3 linked regions of the Caenorhabditis elegans genome follow. The protein of the gene in region 2 purifies or fractionates together with the protein of the main gene of each other region. This does not show direct contact. Each region holds a gene or a part of one and is shown on either strand. Other genes may lie near its edges.

Region 1 (6,567 bases), on a different chromosome or scaffold from region 2:
CATTTTAACACATATCTGCCACAAACTGAAACTTGTAATCTAAAAACCTAATAAATTGTTTTGAAACGAATTTATCCGGTTGTTTCGTTAGTGATTAAAAAAAACAATGCGCTCTGAAAATTTGAAAGTCATAAAAGCAGGCTTCAAGCCTCACTCATGTTTAAAGACAAAAGAGGAGAGCCTGTGTCGATTTATAAGTAACAATTTCCTTTAAAATTGAGAGACTCACAAGAGGCGTGAAAGTAATAGCAACAACAAAAGTTTATGATTTAACTATTTAGACAAAAACTTTAGAATTCGAGCACCGAGTTTTAACAAGCTGATCAGCGTTGGGTATTTTAATCATCCAGTATCATAAATGTGAAAATATTTATATCTTCCATTTCACCTCAATTGATATTTGATATGCGATTTTGCAGATATAATAGATTTTTAAATAATAAGGATATTTTACCAACCTGTAAGGAGTGAGCAATGTTCACTAAAAATTGAAATCCAAGGACTAGAATCATCTTTGAATCATTGCCAGATCGAATTTGGCTTCCTGGAAATGAAAGAAAATAAAAAAGAAACTGAGATTTTGCAACAAAAACGAATGGATAAGTGGCTTCAATTGAAATTCAGCGGATTCCATCAAAAAGTTGTTCAATAAAAATCGGGTCTACCTGCAGCTCCACCTATTCTTTTTTCTCTCAAACTCTTGTTTTCTACTGCTGCCTTGTGTCTTACATTCCCACACTACAATACAGATTCGGACGGTTCGGATATAAAAAATGGGATTTCCAAATCGGGGAGTGGATCGAGGAACACGTTCAACAAACATACACTGTATTGGGTAGGGGAGTCGGTTTGCTTGTTCCGACATGAGAATCTCGAGTTACAACTCGCAAAACCAATTAAATCTTCTCGCAGACAGTAACTGATCCCCGTGGTGTAAATTTTGACCTATTGGTGTTTGATCTGATCACTTCGATGATAACAGAAAATATATAAATATGTAGCTAAGTTGGAGAGTACGGTAGGTTACGGTGTGATCGCGGTGAGATATCAGGTGATTATAAACTATATAGTTTAAGTAAGCCCAAAGCCCAATAGCGGCCTGAATATACCTCGTTTTTAAAGAAACGTTTTAAGTTACTTCAGAATGAAAAAAAAACAGTCTAGAAGTATTGGGAATTAAATTTTCGAGTGGCAGTTATATTAAAAAAAATAAACCGATGTGTATAATTTTCATTGAGTTTTGCCCTACTTTGTGAACTTCAACACTTCTAAATATGTATGAACAATTTTGTGCAATTTGGCATTCGGAGGAACTACTGTATCTGAAATCGTGGCAGGACCCAGCCAAGAGAAGTAGTGTGCGCCTTTAAAGTGATACTTCACTTTTCATGAAGTTAAGAATATCCGCAATTTAGCAACGTCGATTATTGAACAATAAACGTTTGTAGACAGTTTTAAAAGCAGAAAATTATCTTGGTCTATATTAATGAGAGAACTCTACAAAAATCAGTATCCAAAATTTAAAAAAAACTTTGGCACAGAAACGAACAAGCAATCGTAATAATCAATTATTACGGAAAGGAATACGAAGAAGCGGCGAGAAATGTGCTGCAATTCGGTTTTGAACGTTTTAGCCGAATTGCAAATAAATTACGCGAGACGAGACCTCCTCCTTTTGCTCCGGCGGCTTGAACGGTGCCCGCAACCTGAACCTAAACAGCCTAAGCACATAAACGGCACGAGAATTGTCTCGTTGAGAATTATGAGACCAGAGGACACAGTTCATATTTATATTTTTAGCGGAGAAAAATTAAATATTCAAGCGAGGAAGGATGATTTTAGAAGGTCAGAAGGGATTGGAGATTTGAATAAACAAATGAAAAGTGTCAGATCACATAGAGACTAACACGTCTGGATTTTAATGTGCTTTTTTTTGGGACGAATACATATTCACAAAAGGAAATAGAAGAAAAATCAGTGAATACAAGTAAAAAAGTGTGAAGAAACTGCCCGGGCGGTTGGCAGAAGAATGAAGATCGATTAGTGTCCGTACTTTTGGAATTCCCACTCACGATTGTCCAATGGGCATACCTGAAAAGATAGAATTAGAAAATGTGTAAGCTTTTTGAAATGCTAGTTACGAGTACTTAGTAATTGAAAAAAATTAAATTTTCAAAAGTTGTTTAACAAAAATGCATGCGGCAGGCTTCTGTTCCGCTTTGACATTTGAATAAATATCATTTTTTCAAAAATAAGCACGTTTAAAAGCAACCTACCTGTCGTGTCTTCAGCCAACGAGAAATGCAATGGAAGTGGAAAGCGTGATTACAGTTTCCCCATGCAACGGTACACTCATCCTTGAGCCCGGCTGCTTGATTCGCTTGGCACTCGATGCACAGATCCATGATGTGATTGCGGCAAATAGCGCAGTTGTCGACCTGAATGTCCCAGGCCCAAAGTGCGACGGCACTCCATTTCTTGACCTTAAATTGCACTATGTTTGTTAAAGCATGTAACATTGTATCTGTGTTACCTCGAAACGCTTCTTAACTGTCTGATTTGTGGCCTCCTCGACCTCCATAGCTGTGCTGTCGCTTGCTTGGGCCATTTCTGGAAAAAATACAAATGAGAATAACAGTAATCATTTCAAAATAAGAGCGCAAAAGTAGCATTGATGATATAATGAAATACTTAATATTGAACATGTTTATGCATACTATAATACTATAAGCCTAAACTAAATAGAGGATATGATTGATAAAATTGTTGTATCAGATTTTATGAAAAATTGTACCCTAGAACAAGTGATTCACGAACCTAATACAACATTGTTGTACAAAGCCGCCGATAGAAAATGAGGAAACATGAAGGACTTGACATTATTGCTAATATGTATTGAAAAAGGAGATACGCTGTTGTAAAATAAATAAAATGAAATCAGACTGAGCAACACTGCCGAAATTCTTTCGAAAGAATCATCAAAAACGCTTGTCTGCACACACCAGACGCTACGCGCATTTGCGTACACCGTACTCACCTATTTTCTGTCTTCACGCTTTCGCTTTCTTTTTAAAATTTACTCGTCGCGTCTTATTTCTTGCCGAAACGAACAAAGAAGAACAGGTTAAAAAGAAAAATTGTATTTAACAAAAATAAACCGTATCAGTTAGTATTTTAACAGTAATTCTAACAATTGGGACGATGAGAAAACAACTTTTAAATCGTTTCAAGATATTTATTCTGGCAAATCCGTGTATCCAATTCTCTTTTTCTTTCGCTCCGGAAAACATTTTTCAGTAATTTCTTTCAGCTTGTTTCCTAGATTTTTTCGATAGTCAATAACCATGTCGCAGTCGATGGTTCCGTCGGGTCTCTCGTGATGGCTTTTTATGTGCTTGATCACATCAGATTTTGCAATTGTCTGCCATTTTCTGTGACAGATTCCGCACTCGTAGAGCTCATATTTTCCGTGACGCGTATTTGCATGATACACCATGCTTGATCTTTGTTTGGAAACAACGTCTCCACAAAGAGAACATTGAATTTGTTGCTTCGGCTTGATCGGACCACCGCCATCAGATGCTCCCTCGAATGAAGGACCGGCTCCACGTTCTTCTTCGTGACGTGCCAGAGTTTCGTCTGAATTAAATCCAAATGAGTGGGAATCATTATTATGTGTAAGTTTACCTAGAAAGGCATGATAAGCATTATCTACGAAGACAACAGGAGAAGATGACTGAATAGGTGTGCCAGTTGCTTCTGAGTTTTCGACTTTGACTCTGTTCTCCACTGTGCTTGACACCGCATCGCTGATTTTCCCTTCAATCCGCATAGATCGACTCATTGCAATGCACCGTTCGAGCTTTTGGGTCAGTTCCTTCTTTTTCATACTCAACTCCGGTGTGTAGCGATATTTTATCTGCAATTTAAATTATTGTTGAATTTTTTTTCTGCGTCTCTCAACATTGGAGACTTACAGAAAATTCGGTGAGTCCATGATCATTCATACAGTGACTGACAAGGGCGAATTCCGTTGGAAACTTAGCGTACTTACATTTTTCGCATCTAAAATAGTAAAGCTACGTTCACCACATATTAAAAGTTAAAGACTTACTCATATGGGCATATGTTAAGATGATCACTAGCAATGTGTGCTTCGAGATCTTCCAGTGTGTTGTAGGCCTCAGTTTGAACGCAATCTAGACATCCCAGTAGTCGGTTCATTTTTTGAATGTAATAAATATATTCTGCAAATTTAGTAATATAGATTTAGAAGCGAACGGTTAACAAAATGTGTTCGAAATCAACTGAAGACGCGTGGAAAAAGGAAAAGAATGGTGAGAAGAAGAAGGAAGGAAAATGGAGAGAAGGGGGTGGTTTTGTGTGTGTGAGGAGGAGAAGAAGGCCGGGCGGGCAATGGCCAGTCTCTTCCTCCTTTCTCCTTCCTTTCTTCTCCTCTTTCTTCTTTTTTCTTCTTCTCATCGCTCGGTTCGCGCTACATTGAAACGGAGAGAGAAAGGGAAAGAGAGAGGACAAAAATGCGACGACTCGTCTTCTTCCTATCTCTTTCTCTCTGCTGTGTGTGTGTGTGTGTTTTTGTGGCGATAGGAAAAAAAGAAAAAGGAGCGGGATGGGCGGAAGAAAAGTGGGAAAAACTGTTGGAAAAATGAAAACGTGAGAGAACAGATATGAGTCAGATTTTTGTGAAAAATAATTAATTTTGAGATAAAAAGTTGATGGTACAAATACCATGACCATGCATGGCAGTCTCTTTTTTGTTGAAATTTTTGTTTAGAAAACTTATTTAAAACCAATTCTTAAGGAATATGCATTTTTTTTAAACACGAAATTCGCTTTAAACAGAGTACTTCCATTGGAAAATGTAAGGGAAATAAACGATAAAGCAGCCGAAGCTACCATAAACTTTTTTGCGCATCGAGACCAGTCCAAATCAATCCATGCGCCTTTAAGAAAGTATGCCAAAATCTTGTAAAATTAAGATACCATTTTTTCCTAGCAAGAATTTCTCGCTTTCTGATAATTAATTTGGTAAAAAATTCTAAAGCTTATCTGAAACCTTTCGTCTTATAATTTTACAGACTCGGTTTATATTTTATTTTGATAATTAAAAAATAATCAAGATTTTTCAGAGAAAAATGAACACACTGCGACGAATATCGACATGTCGATTCACAAGTAATACAGCGTCTTCAACTTCTTTGGAGTCTGCACCGGCTCCACTAAATCCAAAAGTTCAGAAAGCTCTGACTCCTGCCACGTTTTCAAATCCCAATCAGCTGGCTCGATACCTATCGAAAAAGGTTTTGGCTCACGCTCCAGGTCGATTTGTAGTGTTGGAAAAGCCATATGGATTGTCATGTGTTGGACAACTTCAAGAAAATGGTGGAGTATTTGGGAATAGTGTTCGAGATGAGAGAAAAACTGAAAAATGGGCTGGTACAATCAAAGCAAGGACTCAAGAACAAATGGGAGTAACAATTTCCGATTGTATCAAAGATTTGAGAAAGTTGCTCCGTGAGCCTCAGCTCAGTTTCTGTACAGGCTTAAAACGATACTTATCTGGTGCAATTGTTCTTCCATGTAATGAAAAGGATTCCAATATTCTGAAAGAATGTATCAGAAGCACTTCTTCAAATGTCGAACCCCCTTTTATGTATAATGCCTTGTAAGTTTTATCAATTTCTAAAGTTTAATTTTAGTATTTATTATTTTAAAGTTCAGAGCAATCACAATTGGAAGACCTGAAAAGAGCAGTGGAGTCATAACTGGATTTGCCACGTTTCGGAATGTCGGAAAGCACAAAGAGTACATTTTCGAAGAAAGAAAAACAACGAAACGGGCAAAAACTGGAAAATACGCTGTAGAAGGACATATGAGCTATCGAGTACTGGACACAAAAAATGGAATTTCATTGATCGACTTTTCAGTAAATAAATGTAAATTAACCAAAAATCTTCCGAAAAAAATCATCTTGGTATATTTAATTTCAAATTAAAAAGTACGACGACGCTGGGTTTTTAGATAACAAATGTTTGAATACATATTATTTTTGTATTGAATATTATATTTCTTCAGTTGCTCGTCATCTCCCACGACTGATGCTAACTCAGATGTCTTGTCCGATCCTCGGAGACACTATCTACTGGAGACGTTTGGCCGACGTGGATGGAGTTCCTGAACTTATCAGCGCGGGAAACATGGGGCATAGAATTGTAAGTCACCAAAGTTATTTTGTAAAGAAAAAAACTTGAATCTTATTCAATCTTACAATAAGAATTGAACTTTTAAATCTTAAAAAAATGTATATCTTAAATACTATCAAAATCAATCTGTATTGTACTGTTTTACTCCCCATATATTTGCAAAATAAGTTTGACAAAACTGGAAAGTTGCCATGTTTTTCTAAAATGACTATTATTCCAGTTCATCCCACCTCATCTTTGTTCGACGCTCGAAACTTCAAATCGAAGTCTACTCACTTCACTTCCAATTTATTGCCACGTGTACAACACAATTTTCGAAGACGTCGGTGGTCATGAAGCACAT
Region 2 (10,265 bases):
TTATCCAATAAAAAGACGAATTCTCCAGTGTTGTTCTTCGAGAAGCATCACTTCATTTCTCCGCAGTCAGCAATGACGCACGGAGCCGACGGTGCCCCATCTTCGGATCCTTTCGACTCGATCGCCTTCACCACATCCATTCCTTCGATCACTTTGCCGAAAACCACGTGTTTTCCGTCTAGCCACGTGGTTTTGACTGTGCACAGGAAGAATTGCGAGCCGTTTGTGTTCGCCCCACAGTTTGCCTGAAAAATCAATAGTCAATTCCAGAGCGCATAAAATTTCAGAAAGCCCGATATTCACAAAAATTTCAAAGAAAATTTGATCAAATATCGACAATAACAGAAAAATCGATAACTTGAGTAAATATAATATCGATTTTTTAGTTTTTCAGAATCTTCACCATCGACAAGACTCCGGGTCCGGTATGCTTCTCCTTGAAGTTCTCGTCGTCAAACTTCTCGCCATGAATCGATTCTCCGCCGGTGCCGTTTCCCTCCGTAAAATCGCCGCCCTGGATCATAAACTCGGGGATGATGCGATGAAATTTGGATCCTTTAAAGTGCAACTTCTTGCCCGATTTCCCTTTTCCTTTCTCGCCGGTGCACAGAGCGCGGAAGTTTTCCGCTGTCTTCGGCACGATGTCGTTGTAGAGCTGCAACGACAGGTTTTAAAAATCTTTAGTTTATTGATTTTTAAATGTTGCCAAAATCTAGTAACTTCCTGAAAAGTCGAAAAACTGGCAAATTTCTGCAAGACCATTGAAAAAGATTTTACAATCATCCTAAAAACCGATAACAGAACGACAAAAATCGATAAATGGCAACAAAAAATTATATCGATTTTCTCAATTTATACTCATTAAAGTGCAAACTGACATACCACTAGCGCCTACAGTAATCATATTTGCTCCGAGAACCTAACGCTGCCCCCCTTACCTCCATAACGATGCGTCCTCCCTTCTTTCCGCCAATCGTGATATCGAAGAACACTTTGACACGTGGCATCGCTGATCGATTCTTTTCGCAGTAATAAATTTAAAACTACCGACGTTCAAATTTTCCATTATGACTTGCCACGTGCCGTAAGAGTGTCGTGGATCAAAGTTCAAGTTCAAAAACGTGAAAATTTAAATGAAACAAAATTGGAATTTTGGGAAGGATAATTGTCTACTTTATCGTAATCATAGAGATTCCGGAGAAAAAATAGTTGCTTGAGGAGGGAGGATAGAACACAAAAAAAAGACAAATATAGTACATATACATTTTCAAGGAGAGGCTACGGACTGGTTGGTTTTATAGGCAAATAGCCGTTTGTCGGGAGTAACAGAGAATTTCCCGCGATTTTCAGTTTTTGAGGGCTCCAAAAGTATAAAAATAGGTATTCCAATAAACAGTTTGATGATTCCCCGTTGCGCAGCTCCAGCAAAAAATGATATAAAATATGTAAGATGAGGGGCGAGGGGATTTACTTTCAGTACAGTTCAATTTGGAAAAAAAGCAATCATTGTTAGAAAATCTTGAAAAATAAAATTATAGTGGGGATTTTGAATGGCATGTTTCAGAGTCATTTACACAGTGTAAATTTTAAATTTTAGTTTTTTGCCTCTCAGGGAAAAAACACGCAAATAGGGGGAGAGAATTAGGCCAAATATTGATACTCGTCATTTTGATCGGTTCGCTGAATATACATTTTCTCGATAAGGTCCTCAATGCTCTTTTTGATGAATGGTACGTCGGGCGAGAAGCGGCCTTTCGTTTGGTCCATTATCTGCAAGAAAATGTTGTTTTCCGCATTTTTGATGTGGAATAGCACATTTTGCAAAAAGATTTTTTTCGCTTTTTTTTGGGGGGTTCCGGACCAAAAACTGTTTCTAAAATTGTTTGTTTTTCTTTTTTGGAGGAAAATCCACTTTTTGATTTTCAGTTTCTTGGTTCAAAATTCAAACAAAAATATTTTTGTAAAGCATTTTCAGTCGGTTGAATATCTCGTTTTACAGGGTTTTGACCAACAACAAAAATCTAACAAACCTCAGTGACAAGTGCATTGTGTTTCAGAACCTTCCTGGTCTTCATAATTCTGACAATTGCGCACTCCATATAGTACTTTCGGTCTTGTGAAACCTGGAACTAATATTGACGATTGCGAGGCACACGTGTTTGGATAATCTAGCTGCATCGAGGCGGGGCCTAACTAAATACGTCTAGTCTCTCAGAATTCTAGGCCACAGTTTATAGCTTTGATTTAGGCTCATTGGCTCAAAAAGGGAGCAGATAAATTGTTTAATTGATTGAATTGACTCAAAGTTTCCACAAAAGACCAAATTTCATAGTGAGACATTTAAAAAAATTTTACGAAGGTTTAAAATTTCGAAAAAACACCTAAACTCTTTATTAAAGATTTTTCAGCATTTGAGATTTTAGTTGAGCTTGGCTTGTTTTAATTTCCACCGTCATAAAAATGCTGAGAATTTTTCAAGGTGTCTCATTTTAAAACTTGGTTTTTGAGATCGTTTAAAAATTTTTAAAGTCTAGGACTAAATAAAATACAGATTTTTAGTGCTTGAACTCAAAAAGTCATAACTTGAGGCCCTCGCCAATGAAAAACAAACTGAAAACCCTACAGTATTCGCGACGGCCTCCTGCTCCTTCTCGACAGCCTTATTCACTTGTGGCGCCTGAAGCCGGAACTTCATCCGTTTCGACGTCATCGACATGTTCAGACGAACCAACGAGTCGGCCGTTAGATTCTGATCATCACACGTCAGCAGGGTAACGTCCAAAATCGTTCGAATCGTCTTTAGCAGATAGTCACCGCTCACACCAATCTCCTCTCCGATGTCCTTAACGAGGATAGCATCGCGACGTTCAAAGCAAAGCAGCGCTGCCATCTGATAGACATACATCTGTGCGACATACTGCTTATCGAGGTATGTAAGCCTGACATCTCCCTGTGACATATTGAAAAGCCATGTCAGTTTTCGCCCGTTGTGCTTCCCAGTGTAGAACTTCTCAAACTCCTGAATCACAGGCTGCAGGATACGTGGCAGATGGAAGTTGGCCACGTCTTGTGCGGTCTGATTATTCGAATTCGTAGAGAGCTGTGGAGCGTTGAGCGGCCAGCTACCTGCCTGCAGAATCATCGTCTGTGTCGGCACAAACTTCACGTCGGGCTGCACAGTTTTAATGTCCGCAATGTGCTTATCAAAGTTGTTCGATAGCTCCTGGCTAAGCCCGATATCGGTGAACATTCGTGACAGTTTACTGGTGAATTCATAACCACACGCCTGTTTCAACTTGTTAATCATCAGCTCCTCGGCGTCCATCGATATCGATGTGCTTGCTATAAGCCGATTTGCGAGCATTTTCGAGTAGAACTTCTGGAATATATCCTTATCCTCTATATAGCGGAAAATCACAATTGCACTGTCGAGTTTCGCCTCCAAATCCGTCTCCGATAGTCCTTTCGTGGACTTTTTGAGCAACCCATCCGTATATCTCGCCAACCGCTCACTGGCCTTCGGCACCGACTGTCCTGGCTCCTTCGAGTTCACGACTCCCTGCAACGCCTTGTCGAGTCCACTAGAGAACTCGCCATCGTCCATGAACACAGCAGTCTTCATATCATTGAACTTGTTATACACCCGTAACACATTCTCCACAAATTGCTGGGGTACATTCTCGCCGGTGAGCCTCGACACCGCCTCGAGCCCCTTCTTCTTCACATATTCCTCGAACTCCTTAACCATTACCGAGAGTCCCGCTTGAATGGGCTTCAACAGTCTGTACATGTTGCGGAGGTCCTTGTTCTCCTCATTAGTAATGAGATCATGGCACACTGCGTGAAGTTTATCCTTGTGAGCTTTTATCATAACTTTCTGGCACAACGTGATAACTTTCTCCACCGACGATTCGTGGAGATACTTCTTCGCACGCATCTCTTCTTGTTCGAGGAGCACTATAACCTGTTCCATGTACTCACTGCAGCTGAGGTCGGTGAGCATTTTTTGTGCGAGCGCCGAATAGTACTGTTCCGTATCCGTAAGAAGCGGTTTCTCAAAGCTCTCCTGATAGAACGCCGTTGTCGACTCGCGAGCCTTATAGCGTGCTCCTTCTGCCGGTACAACGTCGAAATCCGTCTCCTCCATCTTAACGAAGCTGTTAATGACGCCGGAGACTTCATTGGCGATATGCGGGAAGTTTCCTTTCCGATCATTGTCAATCGCGATGAGCAGAAGTTTGACGAGCTGCGGGAGAATGGTCTTCACGAGGTCTTCTTTCCAGATTTCTAGTGCGAGCTGAAAATTTCGATTTGTTTTTTTGGTTCAAAACTTCTCAATTATTTAATAGTTATTTTCCAGGAACACAAAATTTTGAAAAAGCGCACTGTGGTCTTAACTGATAATCATCGGCCACGGAAGTCATCTCCGTGGCCTAGGATTTTATTTCCACCCACTTTTTCGTCGAAAACATAAAGAAATTTCTAAAAACCTGGCGCAATTTTTTTGTCGCAAACTCACACATCCGATCTCCTTGACGTCTGGAATCTGCAGAAAAGCGGCGTACTGCGCGAAATTGTCCAAATCGGTGCATCGCTTCTGTTTTACGAATTGTTTGTTCAGGTATCTGTAAATAATGTTTTTTTTTAATTCTCTTTTTTTTGGGTATTTTTCAATTCTTTTTCTTCTACAACGACGCAGTGAAAACGTTTCACAAAAATGCATTTTGGAGCATTTTCAGATCATTGTTTGAATTTTAAAAAGAATTCCGAAGAAATTTCACACGAACCCAAAGAGACGGTGAATAAAGATGGCTCCCTCATGGAAAACTCTCCACATTTTGTGATATTCCTGAAGCAACAGATCCGGATCAACATCGACGATATCTTGACGCTTTTGTCGAACATGCTCTTGAATGCAAGCCTTCACCTGTAAAAATGGAAATCTTGTAGTCTCATCACCAAATTCGCTAGAAAATCCTTTTTTATAGTAGAATCCGAAGAAAAAAGTAGAATTTTAATTTTTTTTTTCGGTTTTCGTCGAAAACGTCAAATTCGAGATACCTCATTATACAATCGCTCGCTCAATGGAGTCGGTATCGATACACAAATGTCGTAGACGTCACTGAAAACAATATTTAAAAAAATTAAAAATTTATAAAAATCCAGCTTTTCGTATCGTAAAGTTGTGATTCTTGACATTTTTCTTTGGAAAGTACAAAAATCTTTTTTTTTTTCAAAAATTCTCATGTTTTTTTCCCAGAAATGGATTTTGTTCAAAAAATACTACCAAAATGGTTTTAAAAAGTATGTTTAAGAGGTTATAAGATCATCAATCCGATTTTGCAACAATGTTTTTTTAAATCGATTTTTCGGATAATCCTGAATTAATCGGAAAATAAGTGAATGTTAGTGTTTTGGAGCAATTTTTTACAATTCTTGGAATAATGATTGAGTTTTTCAGTGAATTATACACGTGAAATAAAAAAAAATAGTTTTGTCAAAAAATTTTCGGATTTTGTGGACAAAATCCTCGAAAAACTTTTTTTCTCTGTCAAAAATCGAATTTAGGATTGTTGCTTACAAACAACGCGATTGCTGAAAATAACTTCAAAAATTGATTTTTTAAAACATAACATTTTTACAAAATCGGATTAATAACAAAAAGGTAATTTTTGCCTTATATATAAATAGTTTTTGCACAAAAACTTTAGATATTGGCCAAAAATCAAGACATTTTTGAACAAAAAATCCCAAAAAATCTTTTTTTTCAAATTAAAAATTCGAAAAATCTGTTGAATGACAGAAATGATACTTTCTGAAATTTCTATCACTGGAAAAAATCAAACTTTTCCTTCAAAACTTACCTAAACTTGTGATGCCACTGAACATTGGTGATCGGCCGCAAATTGATGATATCAATGATAGATGGTCTCAACTGCACCCATACTTTGTCAAATTCCACAACTTTTGGCTTCAGTGAGTACATAACCTGTGGACGAGGTGGACGACTGAAAATGATGACAATTTGTGCGAAATTTTCAAAAAAAAATAACGGGTACCGTAAGGAAACTTTTGTGGAACTTGCCATTTTTACGGAAAAAGCGAAAATTTTTGAAATGCGGATTAAAAAACTAAACACGAAAATTTAATTGATAAAAAGAATCACGTGATTTTAATTATTCTTTCTTTTTTTAATTCGTTCAATTATTTAATATTCAAACCGAAAAATGAGAAACCAGGGGTCATAAACCAAATAATATCGATCGATGCGCAGCAGACGCACTCACATTTTCTTCAATATCGGCTCAACGACGGGAAAATTGTCGTCAGAAATTGCCTTACGGCGGCCAAGTGTCGTACGATTCGATGTCGGCTGTGTATTCGACGCCAGTTTTGCCTGTGGACGGTGAACCTCGGACCGGTTTCCTGTGGAGGTTACACTGAAGATTTTCGGGGATATGGTGGAGAAGCTGAAATTTGATTTTTAGAGAAGATATATTGAAAAGAGATAACAAACGTTAAAAATATATTGAACGTCATATGTTAGAAGTTGGCAATGACAATGAAAAATGTGACATGTGAGAAAAGGAGGATTTTAAAAAGGAAATCTGTTTAGAACAAAAATTAAGAATAATTTTCTGAAGTCTAAAATTTAAAATTAAATTAATATTTGAAGTTATTAAAGGTGGAGTCGTTTTGGAATTTGATTATAAAGTTTTCTCTAAAAATTTTAATATTGAAAAATTAAAAAAAAGAATACCCTTTTGGCATTTTTGTGCATTTTTTGGCTAAACTTGGAATAAATGGCCAAAAACCAAAATAAAATCGGAGCAGTGCTACAGTACTAATTAAAAAAACTACTGTAGTTTTCGCTATGAGATACTTCTCAAAATTTAGTGTACCCGTAATGCTCTCCCATTACAAATGTATTTGCCCCAGATGTGTAAATGAATAATTTTATCAAATATTTTTGTTCGATATTCACATAAAAAGATGAAATTGCGGTTTGTTTTTTTTTCTCGAGAATCCAGAAAATTCTACTAATTGTCATTATTCCCAAACCGGGAATGATCAAATCCCCTCTTCCACTTCCCCTGTTCTTTCCTCAATTTGCGTGCTCAACACACACTGTGTAGCCCGGTTACCAAGGCAACAACTCCCCAAAGGCTCGGGTAGCTCAATGATTTGTACTTCATTTTTTGTAACCATTATTTGTAGGCTCGTGACATAAGTGACAAATCATAGGGGAGCAGTGGCAAACGTCGAAAACAACGGAGATCTTCATTCATATAAATGTCATTAAAGGTAATTCCGTGTACTCTCACAAAAAATCAGGAAGTATTTAAATGTGTTTCTGCTCAGCTTCAATATCGAAGAGGCGAAGAAGAGCACGGAAGTGGACCGATTATTCATCGATGGAGACCAAATGGGCATACTGTAGCTGTTGCATGGTTTGTTTATTTTTTGTTTAATTCTTATTTTTAACAGTATCTTTTTTAAAGATTTTTCTTTAAAATATTCAAAATTCAAAAACTCCAAAAAAGACGAAAAAAATCGAGAAAGAATTTAAAGCCAACTTTTAGAAGTAGGATTTTCAATTTTGGCTAATTGTCCTGTTTGATTTTTTTTCCAAAATGGGAGCTTCATGACCAATGCGTTTGCAAAGACCTTGATTGGTTTGAAAATGGGTGGAGCCAATCGCTGATTGTTCAGATTTTTGAAAATTTGAATTTTCATCATTATTTCTCAATTTATTATTATCGGTTCTGGAATTTCTGAATTTGAAGCTTTTTAAATGCATTTTAAAGCTGAGCTTTTCCAAGCAATAAATTATACTTTTCAGCGCCAATAACACGGTCATCTATTACGATAAGAAAGGAAATGTTATTGACGCGTTGAATCCAACTGGGTGAGTTCAGAGTTTTTTGAAATGTAAAGAAAAAAGAAGATTTTCGTGATTTACACTTTTTTCAACTTCCAGAAAACTTATCGACATAGCTTGGGATAAGGAAGGTGATGTACTAGCGATTGCCGTAGCAAATACCGGGACTATTTATCTATGGGATGTGAACTCGCGGAATACAGATACTGTTGAGAGTGGAGCGACCTCTTCAAAGTGAGTTGAAAAACGGGGGCATTTTCTAAATACGGTTACAAAATATTATTTCAAAATTTTGAAACTGTGAGATTTTTTGGAGTTTTCAAAAGATTACAGATTTTTCGTTGTATTTCTACGTACTTCAGATTTAAAAAGTGATACACCAAAACTTGCTTCATTCCAGAGAGCTCCCAACATGTCTTGCATGGTCCCCAAGTACTCCTACACTGGTAATCGGCAACAACGCAGGAAATATCGTCGTCTACAATCATCGAACGTCTCGGCGGATAGCCGTGATGGGAAAACATCAACGAAGTGTCACACAGATTACAGTAACCCCGGAGGATTATGTAATTTCTTGTAGTGACGATAATACACTTTCAGGTTAGAATATTTCCGTTCAAATTATATTCGAAAATCATGTTTTGGAAAAAAATTGAAAACAGTCAACCCAGAGAAATGAATTGAATGAAAATATAGTTCCTCCGATTTACTGGGTATTATTGCAAGAGGTTTTAACTTTCCAAATAAATTTGACCTCAATTTTATATTTATTTCAAGAGAACAATATTAAGATGAAAACCAACTCTCGAAAAAACGTGGCATTAAAAATTGATACAAGTAATACCTAAATTTGTAGTAACCACACTGGAGGGCACCACAGTGAGCACAACGACGACAAACGGAGAGCCCACAAATATGGATTATGGTTCCGTGAATGGAAAAGGTGGAAGCGGTGTCACGATGGTCAGCGTGGTTATAGGGAAGAAGATTCTGATGCTCGCGCATTACAATGCTCTCGACGAACCCGTGAATCTTCAGTTTCAGGAGAAATATGGAAATATTCACTCCTATAGGTGGTTTAACGACGGTTATATACTCATCGGCTTTGACCGTGGCTATATAATATCGATTTCGGCACATAACAACGAAATCGGCTCGGAGCTAGTCAGTTTCCTCGAATATCGTGGATATCTGGCTTCTATTGCTGTTAGCACCTCGTTTAACAAGCTTCTCACCATCGGAGACAACATGTACGAAGAATCGGTATTTCAGATAATATTTCATGATTTTCAGGGTCAAAGTTCGGGATCTCGACGAGCTTACGACTGTTACTATGCTGACAGAAATTGAAACTGAGAAAAGTGAGAAGCTGGTTTTACTGCAAGCTGAGCTATTTTTTCGAACAAATTTGCAGATCTGAGCGAGATCGAGGTGACCGAAGACGGTCAACTAGTCGCAGTGTCGTCCCAAAGCGGAGTTCTCTCGATATTCGTGACAAAAATGCCAACGCTTGCCGCTTCCTACAACAACTCTATCTGCTACCTGACGAACTTGACACAAGTGACTGTGGTGGCGGAAGTCGAGAAAAAGGGCTCATCGACTTTGGAGCTCAATATTGAACCAACTGTTATGGGATTGGGGCCGTTGAATTTGGCGGTCGCCAATAATAATACCGTGTTTTTCTATGATTATCATACACCTGCGCAGATGCAAGCTGCCCAACAGCTGCAGTCCACTCAATCGGCTGCAGAGAAACGTAAGAAAAATTTAGATTTTTGGCGGAAATTCGAAAAATTAGGGATTTCATGACAGGTTTCAAGAGTTCCGCTTTGGAATATTCCATCAAAAGACATCATGCAAGCTAATAGTCGGAAAATCGACAACTTTTCAGCACCTCGAAAACAAAATTTTAGAAACATCTGATTTTTGCGAAATTTTTTATTTTCCCTCGTTTTTTAACTTAATTATACACTTTACGTCCTAAAATCTCGCTTTAAAGCAGAACTCCCTCTTTTCAGCGACCATAGTTGCCGCGGAGCCCATCAATCGCGTCGAGTACCTCTCCACGGTCACAAACATCCAGCTAAACTACATGTACGCTGCTGTCAACTTTGGGAGCAGGCTCCGCCTGCATCGAATCCGAAATTCCGAGGATAACGTATCAATTGAGTTTCCCGAAGCGAACCGCAACGCGACGCTCTACTCTTACGCTTTGACCGAAAATTTTCTGATTTTTACGACGAGCGTGAGTGTTAAACTGATATTTTGATTTACGAAGCTAACATTTTCTAGAAATTTTGAGAAAAAGCTTGAAAATGGCAACAAAAAGAAAAAAACTAAAATTCAAAACTAAAATTTATAAAATTAGGCGCCGCTGTGCATG
Region 3 (8,072 bases), on a different chromosome or scaffold from region 2:
CGCCGACATTTTTTACGATTTCTGCTACTCTTCTATAGGCAAGCTCACACATAATCAGATGATGTCCTGAACATTGATAATATTATTTTTGACAAAAATTGCAATCCAAAACCTTTCAATTTTTCCAGCACTTCAGCCTTCGCAGGTTTCAATCGTTCACATTCCACATGCTTATTGATCATTTCCTCTTTGAATTGATAATTCACACCACCAGGTTCACACATGTTCGAAACTAACAACATCACAGCCGAAATATCAAGATTTAAGCGTGGCAGTGTTGACTCTGACTGCGATTGTGAGGAGGGTAGCCTGCAATAGAGTTATTGTAGTACGGGAAAAGAGAGAGAGAGAGATGGGGAGACGCAAGAACGTGTTTGCCTTTCAACGGGACAGAAAACATGGCCGCCATAGCTCAGTCGGTTAGAGCGTGGGTCTAATAAGCCCAAGGTCGCAGGTTCGACCCCTGCTGGCGGCAAAATGTTTTGCTTCTTATTTCATCAAAACCTATTTAAACTTACGTTGGAATAGAAGCAGCATCTTCATCAACTTCATCCCAGTCAGAATCTTCCTCTTCTCCAAGCCGTTCAATTAATTCTTCGTTCCATTTTCCACGTAAACTAGGATCTGATTTATCGACGTGCTCTCCAATAACAACAATTCCATGACGAATGAGTTTTTGGGCCATCTCTGCTAGAACTCCATTTCTGAAGTAAATTCGTATTTGTGGTCGATTGAAACGGCGTGATACGAAAAGATGTTGCTTTATTTGTGCAATAACGTCGCCATTTCGTTTTCCGTCTCGATATTCGATGAGAACGGTTTTGGCGGGGCGATTCACAAGTTTTATCTGAAAGAAAAATTAAAATTTTATTTGAAAATATATGAAAAGAGTTTAATAATAACCCAAATGCGGATTTCTTTGCGATTTTTGTTCAAAAAATACGGTGTCTGGTCTCGACGCGATAAATATTTGAGAAATGCTAAAGCGTATGCGCCTTTAAAAGAGTACTGTAATTTCAAACTTTTCAGTTTCTCGTAAAAAATATTGTTTTTAATTCAGGAACTGAAACAAAACAATTAAAATACACAATTTTAATACAAATTGTGAGAAAAACTATTACAAATCGATAAAAATTTCACAGTGACGAAAATTCGTTTTATTAAAAATTACAGTACTCTTTGAAAGCGCACACCTGTTTGTTTTATACGAAAAACTGTCGTGTCGAGACCGGGCACCAAATTTTAGGTGAAAAATGGCAAAAACTCGGATTTGTATAATACTAACCCAAACATTCGGTTCTTTCATCACAATATCTACAGTAACCGATACATTATCCCGTTTGAACGTTTTCAGTACGGCCGTCGCATTTTCCATTTCCTCAACTTCATCGATTATTGATTTGTAGAATGCGTAGTTACATGTGACCAAATGAGTTTCTAGAGCTTTTCGTGTAGCCTGAAAATTCTTAATTTAAAAATCATAAAATCTATAAAATACATTTTGAAGTAGTTCAATTTCCTTGTTAAGCATTCGTTCCATTCGTTGCAAATTCTCCAATTTTTGGAATTTGGCGCCCGTCAACTTGGCGACTGCTTCTTGAACTTCTTTGATTTTTTCGATTCGCTGCCTCTCCAAATCATCTTCGTCGACTCCATGCATTTTTTGTCTGAATTAATTCAGAAATTGAGAAAAAAAAACTTTGTGAATAAAAGATATATGAAATTCGCGAACATAACAGTATTAGAATATTAAATTGAACAATTAAAAGCAGAAAAAGGCTTGGAAACTTTTATTCTTAAGGTGAGATTCAAGATTCAAAAGTGAGAGATTCGAAATTTAAGGCATCGGACAATTTTTTACCCATTCTGAGATCGGGTTAATTTTTACATATTTAAAAATGAGTAAGGTGAGATAATAATGAAAAATTAGACTGCAAATTGGAAGTAATCACATTGGAACGGCGGTTCTCCATTGTTTGTTGAAGTTGTTCTCCGGTAACAGTCGATACAGAGAAGACGGCTGCAATTAATTAAACTTATTACATTTTTGAAAAATTTATTTGGACAAATGATTAAAACCACTTGTCAACTTTTTTAAATTTAATTTTTTGAAAAAAAAAACTAACTCAAATGTGACAAATCTTCCGATCACGTCGACAGAATTAGCAATTTGTCTGGATTGTATAATAAGTGGTCGAATATATCGAATATGCCGAAGTCTGACACATCCTGTACACAATTCGAGAGATGATATTCCTGGTTTTTCAAACATCAGATCATCCATATCGAAACGAAGTGAGAGTGGAAGGAATTGACGTCCAAATTTCATCGATTTTGAGCATCTGAAATGAATTCAATTTAAGATTTTTTTCTTAAAGTTTTAATTTCTCGTACTCTTCTCGATGAATAGCATTCGCAGCAATTGTGCCCAATTTGTCGACACCTCCCTCGTGTGTGTATTCGATATTATCAACTTTTGTAAGCAGGCGACGTATGAAAATTGGTCCAATTTCTTCTTCTCTAAAATAAAAATCGGTTGCAATAGGCTGCATCGACTTGTCGATTTTAATTATTTTTTTTTAGTTTTTATTCTGTTGGAATTTCACCTATTTAAAATTTTTTTATTCTTTTCGTTAAAACATGAATTTTTTTTGCAATTTACTAAAAATATAGTTGTTTTTTTTAATTGTTACAAATTTTTTCGGAAATTTTTATTTTGGCTAATTAGCTAATTGTCAAACTTGCCGATTGCCGAAACTTTTTCGGGACTTTATATGCAAAATAGTGTGTTTAAAATATATTTTGCAGTTTTTTGGTAAACAATTTTAATTGAAAAATTTAATTGTTCTTACTTGGAAAATCATAAGTCCGATTTTGCAGCTTGAACATTAAAAATTAAATATTTCCAACAAAAATTAAAAAACTCACAATCTAACCATTTGATCATTGGCATTAATTCCCACATGTTCGATACTTGGAATTTTTGAGAATACATAAGGTAAAGCTGTCATAAGATTGTTGCTAACATCTATTGTATTTAGATTCTGTAGAACTCCAATACGTGATGGAAGATATTTTATTGCGTTATGAGCAGCATTAATAATCTTGAGCTGTTTCAGATGGAAGATTGGAGGGAAAATCTGAAATATAAATTTGAAGATTATAAAATAATTATTTTCGGAGCCGTACTGAAAGATGATTATCTCCAAAATCCAGTAATGAGATAGAAGTCGGTAGTTCTCGGAACATCGTACACATTGCTGGAACAGGAATCAACTCCAGGGAACAGCTTCTCATCTCGAGTGACTGTAATTGCTTCAGCTTGCTAAACACGTCAAGATCTCTATTATGAGCTCCAATTGGATTTCCATTGAGTGTTAATCTGGTGAGATTATGGCAGAATCTCCAGGCTTTATCAGGTCTCCGTAAATCGATAGGCTCAATTTTTAGTGTTTTCAGGAATTCGGAGCATGATTGCATTTGCTTTTTGTACGTTGCCTGATTGTTGACCGTGATGGTAGTTGGTTTGAAGTCGGAACTTTTTACCTGAAATAGTATTTTATTTTAATTCTTTCAATTCCACCGTCAAGCTTAATACCTTCACTTTCTCAATATCCACATTTTCTCCTTTGACAATTTTTCTGATGGCTTCTATCAGTTGTGCCAACGCTTCTGGATTCGCCTGAACAATAAAAATTATTATTTTTATATTGAAAAATGCTTTACACGTACTTTACTGATGCAAACCATCACAGCAGGAGTTGTTTGAAATGTGATAGTGGTTTTTCCTTGAGCAATAAATTTGTCGAGAATAATTGGCGGCTTGTTGAGCTCGAATTTATTTCCAGTTTTGTCACCGGCCACGGCCACTGTTATCTGATATTGTGGAGGGGTCTGGAAATATTTTTTTGTTTTGTTACATATTAACTTATGAAAATTTAAATTACCTGTCGAAGTTTTTGCAGAATAACAAATCCTTTTTGCGATTTCGTGGGTTTTGGATTAACTCCGGCATTTGCTTTATAACGTGCAAAAACCACTTCACATGGTAATCGCATTTTTTATTGAAATCTGGAATAAGCAACTATTGGTAGTTTCTTTGTATTTGAAAAGCAAGTCTCTGAAAATCAAAATAAGTTTCTGGAAAATCAAGTTGAACCCGATAAAAGAGCACTGGGGAGAGTTACATTTTAAAGTTTTTACATTTATTCCCAAGAAGAATAATTAACGAAAAAATAAATAATAATTACCATTTGCTTACCAACTAATCGGACTTCAATAAAATTAATAGAAAATTGTCACTTATAAATATCACAAATGAACACAGGAAGTGATTGGGGGATGAAAACGATAATTTAAATAAGTCAGCGGGAGAGTCGAAATTTACAAAAAAAACGGGGACTGGAAACAATAAAGAATAATAATTAGCTAAAAGTTGTACCCACATTATAAGCTAAAAGAAAGTTTACAGTAAAGTCATTATGCACATTTTTATTCAGAGTTCTTGAAGATCTCCAATGCATTGTGTACAGTGGAGTTGTCCAGCGGGTAGAATTTGGGGTCTCTGTAAAGATATATTTGGGAACGATGAATCAAAGAATATTCTACTTACACTGATATCAGAAATAATTTCCAAAATTCGTCTAACAGATGCATCTTGGGTTTGCCCGAAAGTATCACTATTATCTTTGTCAGCAGAACAATCCGATAATCGTGGACTATTTTGAGCTTCCAACACAGTTGGTGGTGGAGTACTTGGAATCTTCTCATCATCACTATTACCATGTACTTTTTCACGCTCTGGAACTTCTTCCAATTTGGCGTCCACCAAAACATCTTCGTCTCCGCTCATTTCATCAACTGTCGAATGGCTATAGCTTCGGGAAACTCGGCGAGCTGCTTTTCGGGAGATTGAGCTTGTCTGGTATTCCTAAAAATTAGCTTGTAGGTATTACAGTTTCATAGATTAATTACCTTTAATACTCCACCTTTGTTAAGTACAGTCATTAACACATTTTGCAGTTCTTGGCATCGTGCAACAGTTTTCGTTCTGTCCTCTTCCATAGCCTTCAATTGTTCATCTTTTACACGAAGCCTTTCACGAACCAATTTTCTCTGATGCTGATAGAGAACAACGTGATCAGCAATTGTGTCATTTTCGAGTTCTAGCTGCTGGTTGATGTGCTCTAATCGATCAATTGTCTCAACGAGTTCAGCATTCTGAAGCATTGCTCGAGCGAATCGTTTCTCTAATTCTTTTCGTGCCCATAGATCTTCATGAAGCTCTCTAGAAGACTGCTGATTTTCAGCTTCTTCTGGAACCTTGGTTTCTTTCAACTCCAGCTGTTCCTGTTTGCTTTCGAGATCTTTCCGTTCTTCCTCTGCTCTTCTATCAGCTCGTTCATCTTCCAATTGTTGACGGCAATTATTAAAAGCTTCTCTGAGTGCTTCATTTTCGGCATGAAGATCCTGAACTCTGCCAACTGCTTGAGTGAGCTCAACGTGAATCGAATTCTGATTCTCATCTTCTGCATTTTGCCTCATTATTTCGTCCATTTGTTCATTATGAGTGTTACTTCGTCTCAAATCAGCACGGACCAGTTGAAGTTCATGAGTTTTCAGCTCTAAATCGGATCTGATTTCTGCATTTTCTCTTTGAAGCGTTGAGATATTTTCTTTCAATTCTTCATTGAGTTTCACGATTTCTTGAGATTCTTCACGTTGTTCTTGACTTGCAGCAGATTCTTGTGATGCTTCGAGATGAGGTTGTCGAGCGATTACTTCTGACAGATTACCAACAAGACCCGCGGTTTCTAAATTCAACTGCTTTGTCAATTCCCGTACTTGATGCTCAGCAGATTGTTTTGCAAGCTCGACATCTGCTTTTTCTTTCGTAAGAGTAACAAATCGGTCTTCCGTTTCCAAGAGACGTTCTTTAAGCTCTTTGTTTTGTGCCACTGCGCGGGATACGGTCGCTTTTTCGTTCTGTAAATTCGAAAATTTGAAAAATCAGGGAAAAATATTGAAAATTGTAAATCTACCTGTAGTTGCTCTGAAAGAGACAACAAATCAGCTCCGTTTGCAGTTGACTCTAACGTTCGTTCTTCCAAAAGTCGATATTTCATTTCAAGTTCTGCCAATGACTGTTCTCTTTCGAAAATAACTTTGTCTTTTTCTAGAATTTCTTCTTCTCTGCGTTTCTGATCATCCTCACTTCTTCGTTCCCACTTCCCTCTTTCAACGAAACACGCTTCACGAATCCGTCTTGCTACATCTTCTTCTGTGATAGTTGGAATTTCATCATGCCTCTCAGAAACATCCATATTCATTTGAAGCTTCTGCAGTTCAGATTGAGCAATTTCGAGTTGATTTTCGAGATGTTCAACTTGATCGTTTGAAGAAAATTTTTGATTATGCAAATGCTCGATTTCTAAAGCCATCTCTGCTTGCTTTTGTTGAAGTGCATACTCTCGATCAGCATAGTGAGCTTTTAATGTCGCAGATTCGACGAGAAGACGTGATTTTTCAGCTTTAACGTTCTCCAGCTCACGTTGCAAGTTTTCATAATTCGTATTCTCATTCGGAATCCCTCCCGGCGGTCCTGTGGCTCCAAGTTGTTTCAAATAAAGATCTTTCATTTGAATGTCTTTCATGAGCTGACTGATGCGATTTTCTTGAGCCGCCGTTTCTTTTATCATACTTTTCACACGTGCTTGTGCTTCACTTCTCTCGTGTTGAACATTTAGCAGGTTAGCTTGCATTGATGCAACTTCTCGTCGAGCTCCTTCTAGCTCTTGATGACGTGCAGTTAATAGGGAATCTTTTTGTGCAATTGCTTCATTGAGTTTTCGAATTTCGTTTGACGAAAGTCCAGATGATGTTGAATTGCTCATTTGGTTGGCAATGTTCTCTGCAGCAGCCAGCTTGTGTCGAAGTTTTTCGATTTGCTTGTTTGCCTGACGAAGATCACTTTGAGACGAAACTTTCTCTTCAACCATTGCAGACAATGCCTGAATACTCCATCATTAAATTAAAATAAATAAAACGAGTAATCCTTACATTTTGGAGTTGGACAATTTGATTTTCTGTATCCACATGTATTCCATTTGCATTGACTTGTGAATAAGCGGAATGAAGTTGGGAGTAATGGGCACACTAAAATGATTTTTTTTTTAATAAAATCATTATTCATATAATTAACGAATTAGTTTTTGTATTTGTCAATTTCTCATTATCCTTACCAATTCGTCATGCTGGGTCTTCAATTGTGTATATGCCTGATACCATTCGTTTCCGTTCGGTTGAAATGGTGAAGCCTGAAGAAAACATTTACTCATTTAACGATGTTATCGATTTTCTCACATCCAATCCATTTCTTGCATTCAAACTTTGTGCAGAAGAAGATGAGTGTGGAATTTGAAGCGCTGTCGAATCTTCACTGACAACGCTGCTCCGTCCATTTAAACCTGCTCCAGCACCCGGCTCTGATGAAATGATACTTGATGCAGGAGAATTACGTCCATCGAGTCTTTGACGTGCTTCAAAGTCTTTCAGCTGTAAAATTTACTCTATAAACTTTGTTTTAATAAAGTTTCCTCACGATTCTCACCTTTTTCCTGGCCGCTGCCAGCATTTCAGCTTTGGCAGGTGCAGCGGCATCGACCATATCACTGATTAATCCAGCTTTACGCCGAAAAACAGTAAAATCTATCGATTTTAAAAGCTGAAAATGAAAAAAGACGTGGAAATTAGTGGTTGGACGCAAACACCGCAATTGACGACATAGCGCAGACAACAAAGCGAGTTCGCAATGAAAGCAGCAGAAATTCACACAAAAAAGAAAAAATAATAGGTTTATGTACAAATAACTAACGAAACTTTGGAAATAAATGCTAAAAAACAACCGAGCAAATTAGAAAACTGGAGGCTTGTGATCAGATGAGACAGGCGAATCGGTTTGCCCCTTGGTGAGCCAGGCAAGAGGTTCTCGTGTGAACGTGCGGTATGCTTCTAGAATTAAGTAGTTGAAGATAACATTTTAATTGAGAATATCAACTCACTAGCCCACTTTG

What was found. The genes of interacting proteins can lie anywhere in the genome.
Region 1: the proteins of cul-2 (region 2) and rbx-1 purify together in Caenorhabditis elegans (affinity purification with mass spectrometry, with the first as the bait; one study listed by BioGRID). This does not show direct contact.
Region 3: the proteins of cul-2 (region 2) and lrr-1 purify together in Caenorhabditis elegans (affinity purification with mass spectrometry; 3 studies listed by BioGRID, with this or other methods). This does not show direct contact.

Annotation. Positions count from the first base shown.
Region 1 is NC_003283.11:9,687,913-9,694,479, forward strand, and holds rbx-1 (RING-box protein 1), read right to left. Parts: upstream 2,611-6,567; 5' UTR 2,609-2,610; coding exon 2,534-2,608; intron 2,484-2,533; coding exon 2,277-2,483; intron 2,092-2,276; coding exon 2,041-2,091; 3' UTR 1,774-2,040; downstream 1-1,773. Other genes in the region: ztf-9 (C2H2-type domain-containing protein), read right to left, coding at 3,236-3,639, 3,688-3,919, 3,978-4,065, 4,115-4,224; ZK287.7 (RNA_ligase domain-containing protein), read left to right, coding at 5,157-5,686, 5,743-5,957, 6,097-6,233, 6,445-6,567. UniProt on the Caenorhabditis elegans protein: Component of the SCF (SKP1-CUL1-F-box protein) E3 ubiquitin ligase complex, which mediates the ubiquitination and subsequent proteasomal degradation of target proteins.
Region 2 is NC_003281.10:13,683,474-13,693,738, reverse strand, and holds cul-2 (Cullin-2), read right to left. Parts: upstream 6,089-10,265; coding exon 6,060-6,088; intron 6,009-6,059; coding exon 5,865-6,008; intron 5,123-5,864; coding exon 5,062-5,122; intron 4,928-5,061; coding exon 4,788-4,927; intron 4,626-4,787; coding exon 4,520-4,625; intron 4,298-4,519; coding exon 2,624-4,297; intron 2,130-2,623; coding exon of another isoform or gene 2,124-2,129; coding exon 2,031-2,123; intron 1,771-2,030; coding exon 1,642-1,770; downstream 1-1,641. Other genes in the region: cyn-2 (Peptidyl-prolyl cis-trans isomerase 2), read right to left, coding at 48-245, 404-655, 939-1,007; WD repeat-containing protein dyf-2, read left to right, coding at 7,294-7,305, 7,363-7,451, 7,844-7,909, 7,982-8,116, 8,283-8,482, 8,739-9,132, 9,176-9,243, 9,297-9,638 and 1 more. UniProt on the Caenorhabditis elegans protein: Core component of multiple cullin-RING-based CBC (Cul2-ElonginB-ElonginC) E3 ubiquitin-protein ligase complexes which mediate the ubiquitination and subsequent proteasomal degradation of target proteins.
Region 3 is NC_003280.10:5,032,369-5,040,440, forward strand, and holds lrr-1 (PIF1/LRR1 pleckstrin homology domain-containing protein), read right to left. Parts: upstream 4,072-8,072; 5' UTR 4,059-4,071; coding exon 3,948-4,058; intron 3,895-3,947; coding exon 3,733-3,894; intron 3,683-3,732; coding exon 3,599-3,682; intron 3,547-3,598; coding exon 3,190-3,546; intron 3,141-3,189; coding exon 2,929-3,140; intron 2,521-2,928; coding exon 2,395-2,520; intron 2,343-2,394; coding exon 2,127-2,342; intron 2,021-2,126; coding exon 1,927-2,020; 3' UTR 1,774-1,926; downstream 1-1,773. Other genes in the region: F33G12.3 (DUF1308 domain-containing protein), read right to left, coding at 1-66, 113-309, 519-847, 1,286-1,456, 1,499-1,660; golg-2 (Golgin subfamily A conserved domain-containing protein), read right to left, coding at 4,496-4,564, 4,613-4,930, 4,975-5,985, 6,042-7,010, 7,060-7,155, 7,242-7,316, 7,363-7,554, 7,610-7,666; F33G12.7 (uncharacterized protein), read right to left, coding at 7,913-8,010, 8,061-8,072.